2 linked regions of the Nothobranchius furzeri genome follow. The protein of the gene in region 1 purifies or fractionates together with the protein of each later gene. This does not show direct contact. Links are inferred from orthologs where the notes say so. Each region holds a gene or a part of one and is shown on either strand. Other genes may lie near its edges.

Evidence for each region.
Region 2: the proteins of dna2 (region 1) and mms19 purify together in Homo sapiens (affinity purification with mass spectrometry; 3 studies listed by BioGRID and IntAct, counting the BioPlex papers as one, with this or other methods). This does not show direct contact. The link is inferred for Nothobranchius furzeri from reciprocal best matches to the Homo sapiens genes DNA2 and MMS19.

The regions. Positions count from the first base shown.
Region 1 is NC_091749.1:53,953,898-53,957,551, forward strand, and holds part of dna2 (DNA replication ATP-dependent helicase/nuclease DNA2), read left to right. Parts: intron 1-1,157; coding exon 1,158-1,280; intron 1,281-1,373; coding exon 1,374-1,599; intron 1,600-1,673; coding exon 1,674-1,788; intron 1,789-1,880; coding exon 1,881-2,037; intron 2,038-2,117; coding exon 2,118-2,309; intron 2,310-2,374; coding exon 2,375-2,617; intron 2,618-2,705; coding exon 2,706-2,819; intron 2,820-2,925; coding exon 2,926-3,035; intron 3,036-3,114; coding exon 3,115-3,224; intron 3,225-3,295; coding exon 3,296-3,424; intron 3,425-3,505; coding exon 3,506-3,601; intron 3,602-3,654. UniProt on the Homo sapiens protein: Key enzyme involved in DNA replication and DNA repair in nucleus and mitochondrion.
Region 2 is NC_091756.1:28,167,422-28,171,075, reverse strand, and holds part of mms19 (MMS19 nucleotide excision repair protein homolog), read left to right. Parts: coding exon 1-51; intron 52-154; coding exon 155-232; intron 233-1,798; coding exon 1,799-1,937; intron 1,938-2,037; coding exon 2,038-2,192; intron 2,193-2,269; coding exon 2,270-2,348; intron 2,349-3,586; coding exon 3,587-3,654. UniProt on the Homo sapiens protein: Key component of the cytosolic iron-sulfur protein assembly (CIA) complex, a multiprotein complex that mediates the incorporation of iron-sulfur cluster into apoproteins specifically involved in DNA metabolism and genomic integrity.

The DNA.
Region 1 (3,654 bases):
TGTTGGTTCGTGCTGACTGGCGCTCACTTCATATTGCATTGAGCTAAATGGGATAGGGGCGGGCTTAGCAAAAACAAAAGGAGTATATCCTACATTACATCACAGCACATAAGACGATCACTTTTATAGATTTCTGGAAAGTCATATAGAATTCCTGAAAGGGGAAAATTCCAGACAGCAGCTCTAATTTCATGGTAGAAAGTGTGGAGCTGAGAAAGGACCGGAATGTTTGGCTGACTGGAGAAAAAGAACCTTTTTTTAACTTTTGAAAAAATTAAAAGTCTAATCCGAATGACAAATTTTGAGTTGTCTGAACAAAGTGGTGCACAAAAGAGTAAAACTACCGGTACAGCCACTCGGTCCAAACCCAATTCTTCCCCAAGGGGTGGCTGGAAAATAGCTGTGTTTTGGATACGCCAAAGTCTAAACTCTCCAAAGGTTACCAAAAGGACCATTTTGGTGTGCCACCCCAAAACCTTCTTTGTTTGGCCACCCTTAAAAATGTTTCCGAGTGCGCCCCTGTGTAGCGGCTATTTCAGTGTCATAGTAATTTTCTACGCTTTAATTATGGCTGTTCATTCCACTTTGTAAAAACTGTAATAAATAAATAAATAAATCAAATATAAAGTTCTGAGAGTGGAAAAAAAAATCAGAGAATGAACAAATAAAGATTTGAACATTTTTTATAACTGAACTGAAATAAAATTTTCGAGCTGAAAGAAAACACTTTTTTTTCACGTACATTTTTTATGTTTTTGGGTTTTTCACATTTTCAGTTTAAAAGCTGGCATTCAGCTTCAGTTTTAACTTTTTCAATTTCAAACATTTTTTCCCACAATCCAAACTTTATGGCCCTGCCTCGGGTCCATAGAAACTATTTACTCATAACTCTTTGTTTATTAATTTATTTTTTGTTGCAAATAAAAAATAAAAATCTATTTTCAAACAAGAAATCACAATATTTTCTCTTTTTTTGTTTTAAATCTCATTTTTTGTGCTTCATAAACTGTTTAAACTTGGCAATTTTGGCTCAAGTCTATAAACATTTTGTTGTAAATGACATTAATAATGGTGAATAACTAACTTATCACTAGGATTGTGAACTTTTGCTTCTTTGCTGGTGATTTTTGCACATTTAGCCGTATTTGTGTTTGCAGGTACTCTTTAGGTGTGAGTCAGGAGGAAATTAAGCAGGAGCTGCATGAGTACTTACCCTCACTGGAACACTGGGCCAACGAACACCTCTGCCCTACCAACCCTAAAGCCATCAGCCTTAAAACGTTGGTACAAGTCTTTCATCAGCGCTGAGTGGGAATAGAATCAGTTTGAAATGTCCTGACCTTTGACCTCCTAACGAGCTGATTGTCTCCCAGCAGCCAGGGCCAGGACTCGGCTTCTGTCTTCACAGTGAGTGAGCTGGCAGACATAGAGGAGAACGTCTGGTCCCCCAGATTTGGCCTCAAAGGGAAAATAGACGTGACAGCTAAAGTTCAGATCCAACGAGCGCCAAACAGCAGCCGCAGAATTCCTGAGGAGAAAACCATCCCTCTGGAGCTAAAAACGGGAAAAGAGTCAAACTCCATAGAGCACCGCAGTCAGGTTGGTGGACTCTCGTCGGTAATTTATTGTTATTTAAAGTCTGGTTAATGTGGTTTTTGTGCATCTATTTACAGGTAATTCTGTATACTCTGATGAGCAAGGAAAGATACAATCCTGTCGTCGGCCTTCTTCTTTACCTCAAGACTGGAAACATGCACCCGGTCGCAGCCGGTCACATGGACCACCGAGGTACCGGGAGCCCAGATCTGTCTGATTCCCTTGGAAGCTGTCTCACATATCGGCTGCTGCAACCTTAATACGATAAAACTTTGTTTTCCCAGAGCTGCTGAAGCTGAGGAACACTTTGGTTCGTCACATCAGCAGCTGTGTGGAGAAGGCGGCTGATCAAAGCCGCCTTTCCAGACTTCCTGACATCCTGACGGACAGACAGACCTGCAAGTACTGCCCTCAAAGGCTGAGCTGTGCTTTATATGAAAGGTAAACAGGAAATTTACTTTTTCTGCTCTCTCCTGTCGGTTGTATTTGTGTTGGATCATGTGCCTTCATCCGCGTTTCAGAGCAGTGGATACGAGCTCTGCAGATGCCAGCGAGGAGGTTGTGCGTACTTTTCTTCAGCAGGAGACAGGTCACCTGACTCTGCCTCATCTGAGCTACTTCTCTCATTGGCTGCTGCTCTGCTGCCTGGAGGCGTCCACCATGGAGGCTAAGAATGGCCGAAAGCGTGTGTGGCTGCAGTCGGTTGAGGAGAGGTGCCGGATAAAGCTGGTTTTAAAACTTAAATAAAATCGAGCGCAGTAAAATATTTTTGTTTTAGTGAGAAGACGGGCAGCTGTGTGGGGAATCTGCAGCTCAGCGGCCCGGTGGGGCTCCAGTCCGACGGTGTCTTCCTGCATCGTTTCCAGCGCAGCAGCGTAGCCTCCCAGCAGGGCGTGACCAGATGCGGTCTGACCGGCGGAGATCGCATTGTCGTTAGCGATCAGGAAGGACGCTTTATCGGCTTGGCGACCGGGTACCTCTGTGAGGTCAGCAGAACATCAGTCAGCTGCACTCTGGACCGGTAACAGCAGATTCAAATGTTTCTGTTATTAGAGATTAGAAAAAATGTAATAATATATCTGCATTTTTGTGGTTTTTAACTTTAACAGAGACCTGACAAAGTTCAGCAGGATGTTTTTTCGACTGGATGGTGTTGAGGGAGTGGTGGGCCTCAGCACGCATCTCAGTAATCTCTCCAGACTGATGGAAAACAGCCAGAACAGGCAGGAACTGGGAATTATGAAGATTCAACTGGTTCATGGAAACTTATAAGATGGTCCTTTTGTTTTAAAATGGTTTAATGTTTGTTCTTTTAATGGCTTTGTGCAGCGAGCGGCTGAGGGAGCTGGTTGTTGACCTTCGTTCTCCAGAGTTCATCACCAACCTCAGCTCTGTTCTGCCCAGAGAGGCTAAAGACGCCGTAGCCAACATCCTCAAAGGTCAAGAAGCTTTTTTTGTCTTTTTTTCGGTTTGCTCTGTTTTCATTGGAGCTAAATAAGCTGAATTACGTTCACACAGGTCTGAACAAACCACAGAAACAGGCCATGAAGAAGGTTTTATTATCCAAAGATTATACACTGATCGTTGGAATGCCTGGCACCGGTAAAACCACAACGATCTGCACCCTGGTGAAGCTGGAGCAGAGCAAAAATGACGTTTCTGTAGAATAAACCAGCACACTGACACGGTTTGCTCCCAGGTTCGGATCCTGCACGCGTGTGGCTTCAACGTGCTGCTGACCAGCTACACCCACTCCGCTGTCGACAACATCCTGCTGAAGCTCAAACGTTTCCGGGTCGGCTTCCTGCGTCTGGGGCAGGGACAGAAGGTCCGCCTCCATCTGATGTAGCCTATAAATCCCTGTTTTGTCATCTAAAAGCTACGTTTGGTCTGACTTCTGTTTTTTCAGGTTCATCCTGAGATCCTGCCATACACGGAGGAAAGTGTGAGGAAGAAGAGGGACGTTAAAACGCTCTCAGACCTGGAGCAGCTTTATAACAAAGAGGTGAGGAGTTTTATTGAAGTTTCAGCTTGATTCAAAATGTTTTTTTTTAACTT
Region 2 (3,654 bases), on another chromosome or scaffold:
AAGATGGACTCGGACATTCAGAGTGCAAAGCTGGATTCACTGCAGACTCTTGTGAGACTGACTACAGCCGCAGCTTAGAGAAGAATAAGCTAAAGTAAGATGAAATGTGACTTTTATGATGATTTGTCATCTCTTTATATTTGATCTGTTTCAGGCTGCTTGCGGGTCAAAATATGATCACAGAGACTTGGCTGAATTCCTCCAGGGACTGTGGACGTCACTGCGCAGAGAGGTCTGTAGTGTTTTACAAAGTTTGAGCCGTTTTAGTTTAACCCTGGCTTTCCAATGGATGCATAACCATTTTAGCCATGAGCACCTTTCCTACTGGGAGTGTTTCAGGTGCAAACAGCAGCAAAAGAGCTCCACACAAATGGTCCGCAAAGTCACTGAAGGACCGGAAATTGCAAAACCACACATTAGATTTCAGATAGATGGCAGCATGTATCCGAAAAGGTCTGTGGTTTATTTCCTGTTTGCCTCAGCTTTGGAGGTGTTACAGGTAATGACGTACTTTTACTAGTTGATCAACTGAAAATCTGCAAGTGACTTTTATTTTGAAAGTTTCTGGATGTTTTACCCTGCTTTTGTTCAACTTCCTGTCTGACCCGATCTGAACTGCTGAGCTTGACATGTTCTGGAAGCGTAGTGTATAAAAAAAATTGAAGTATTCACAGCATTTCTGGGACGCTTTGCGGCCGGTGGAAACACCCATCCACTATAACAGCGGCTAATTGCTTCGTACTACACTTCGCTGACGTTGCGTGACGCTTACACGTCTGGTGGAAAGGCCCGGTGAACAACCCTTTTTTTCCACCCATTCAATGCTGCAAAAACTATAATTTAACCTCTCACATATTTATTTTTTTTCCCTTTTTGTCCCACATAAAAGTTTCAGATCAGCAAACACATTTCAGTGTCAAAGACAACCTGAGTAAACACAAAATTGAGTTTTAGATGATTTTTCACGCTGCCATCCAACCAGACGGGGGCTGGGCAATAAATTCAATATTTATCATTATCAAAATTTCGACTTTTATCATGATCGTTTTTTCCACAATAATAATGATAATAAAAAATGAAAAAGGTGTGTGTAGGTTGGCAATGTCCCTTTAAGATGCTGTACCACCTTGAGTCATGTAAAAATGTGACTCAACATAATGCACGTGACGATATATGGTGATGTTGATTTTAGGCCAAATTGCCCAGCCCTAAACCAGACTGTGCCATAAATAGTAAGTAAGTACATTTTTTTTATATATAGCACTCATCACAGACATAGAAACACAAAGTGTGCTTCACATAAAACAAAGTCATAAAATCATAATGATCTCAAAACAGAAATAGATTGACATCAGAAAACATAAAATTATAAAATTTCATAAACAGAAACAAAAGCCCCATTCCCACCTGTACCGGGTCGGCCCGGGCCGGGTAGCATAGGTTGTTTACATATCTGGGTGGCCTGGAATTTTCCCGGGCCAACCAAGGCTCATTCTCGGCCCTCTTCCCGAGGGGTACTGCTTCAGGCCGACCAGGGCCAACACGCCCACTGCTGACAGCAAATTCACACCTTCCATTAGAGCAAGCCTCTGATTGGTGGGTAGAATCAGCCCACATGGGCTTAAGGCAAGGATGTGTGGAATCAACCGGGCCAGGCTGGGGCCGACTGGGGCTACCCGGCCCGGGCCGACCCGGTACAGGTGGGAATGGGGCTAAATAGAGACGTTACTGTGAAACCCAGCCTCTTCACTGGTGTGTGTGCTCTCAGTACAGCCCCGTCTCCGTTTCCTGCCTGCAGGTGTTTCAGACATCCAGTGAGAAGATCGAGTCAGCAGCCCTCACCGCTCTCACCGCACTCACTTCCTGTCTGTCTCGCTCAGTGGTGAACTCTGATTCTGAAGACACCCTCATCACCCTCCTGGATCTGGTTCTAACAGGTGAACCAGTTCTTTAAAACGAAGGCTCCTTTTACAGGCAGGGTTTCATTAAAACCGTCTAATTAACAGCAGTGCAAACATCTTTGTGACATTTTCCCAGACTGTAAACATCATCTGTGCGAGCCCGACCTGAAGCTGGTATGGCCCAGTGCCAAGCTGCTACAGGCTGCCTGCAGCGCCTCCAACAGGGCGAGCCACATCATAACAGCTGCTGTCATGCCCTCTCTCATCGAGCAGTACAACAGCAGAACACAGGTCAGACCGAGAATCCGTAGTCATGTGTAGAGCTTTGCTGTTGTCATGGTTACTGAGTCATAAGCTTCTCTTAACAGTGTTCTCATAGACGTACGTTGTTGGAAGTGGTGCAACGATTCATCAAGTCAGTGAAAACAAACACGTCTTCAGATACCGGTGAGTTCATCATTCCTCTGATTTAAAGTTGAAACCGAGTTTATTTCATTCAAATAACAAACACTGATAAGACTCTTGAATTTTCACAAAGTAATCACTAGATTTACTCTTTCAGCACCTCGTGATTCACTTTGATTATAGGTCAGAGGATTGCAGTGTGATTATTATTCAGGCATATTTCCACCCCTCCCACCTTTTTATTGTCAAATCGATGTATTTGTACAGACCCAAAAAGAGTGCATCTCCAATAGAGCTGTAATTGTGGAGAAAGATCTGAGCAATAATGTTGATCAAGTAACTGAAGAGTTACTGCTCGCTCCCATAAAGGAGGATCAGTTTTGGATGCACTAGTCAACCCTGCTGCAACAACGAGCTAACACTAAGTGAGCCACAAAGTAAAAGATCCACCCTGTTGGACAAAAAATATTATGATTTACAAGTCCATTAGCAACAAAGCCAGGTCACCATCAGTCCGTGATGTCGTAGCCTCCTTTAGCTCCCTCAGACTAGCGTAGGCTGCACCAAAGTTCACTCTGGTTTTAGCTCTTTGCTTCAGCTCCAAAGACATTTTTGCTCTCTTACTTTTACTTTCAGGGTCCTCCATGATGCCAACAGTAAACTGTTATTGCCATAACGGCAGATAGAGACCTCCCACTAGTGTTCCAGCCTGACCCATTAAACGGGTTCTGCTGGTTCTGGTCAGCAGAAGGCTGTCTGATGTGATGTGGCTGAAGTTTGTGGCTAAAGTACCACTGCAACCAGTTTGAAAGCAATGGTTTAGCGTGTTAAAAACCTTTTAGTGTTAAAATGAACAAAATCTGTTCTTATATTTAAATCAGTTCAGAAACATGGACATCTTCCAGGGATTGATGGGACTTAAATCGCATGATCAGGCTCAGCCATCTCACACCAGTGGCATGGATGTAATTTTCACTTTAGAGGTGGGGGGACACGGGGGAGTGTATCTACAGTATGCTCTAATGGGAAACAGGCTTCAACACAAACGGTTGTTTTCCGCTTGGTCCTAGAGCTCAACCAGTGTCAATTTAATATAATATATATATATATAATATTTTTGGATGGTAAAAAGTGCAGGGGTCAAAACTTGACTTTGGAAAAAGTGGGGGGGGGGGGGGGGCCCATCTCCCCCCCCCCCCCCCCCCCCCCCCAGATTACGTCCATGGCTAGTGGTCTGTATAAAGATGCACATAACTTGTACCCATCTCTGGTGTTTGTAGATGAGAGTGTGCTGTCAGCGTACAGAGCTGCTCTTTGCAGCATGGTGTTTTCTGCTCTCTCCGAGAGT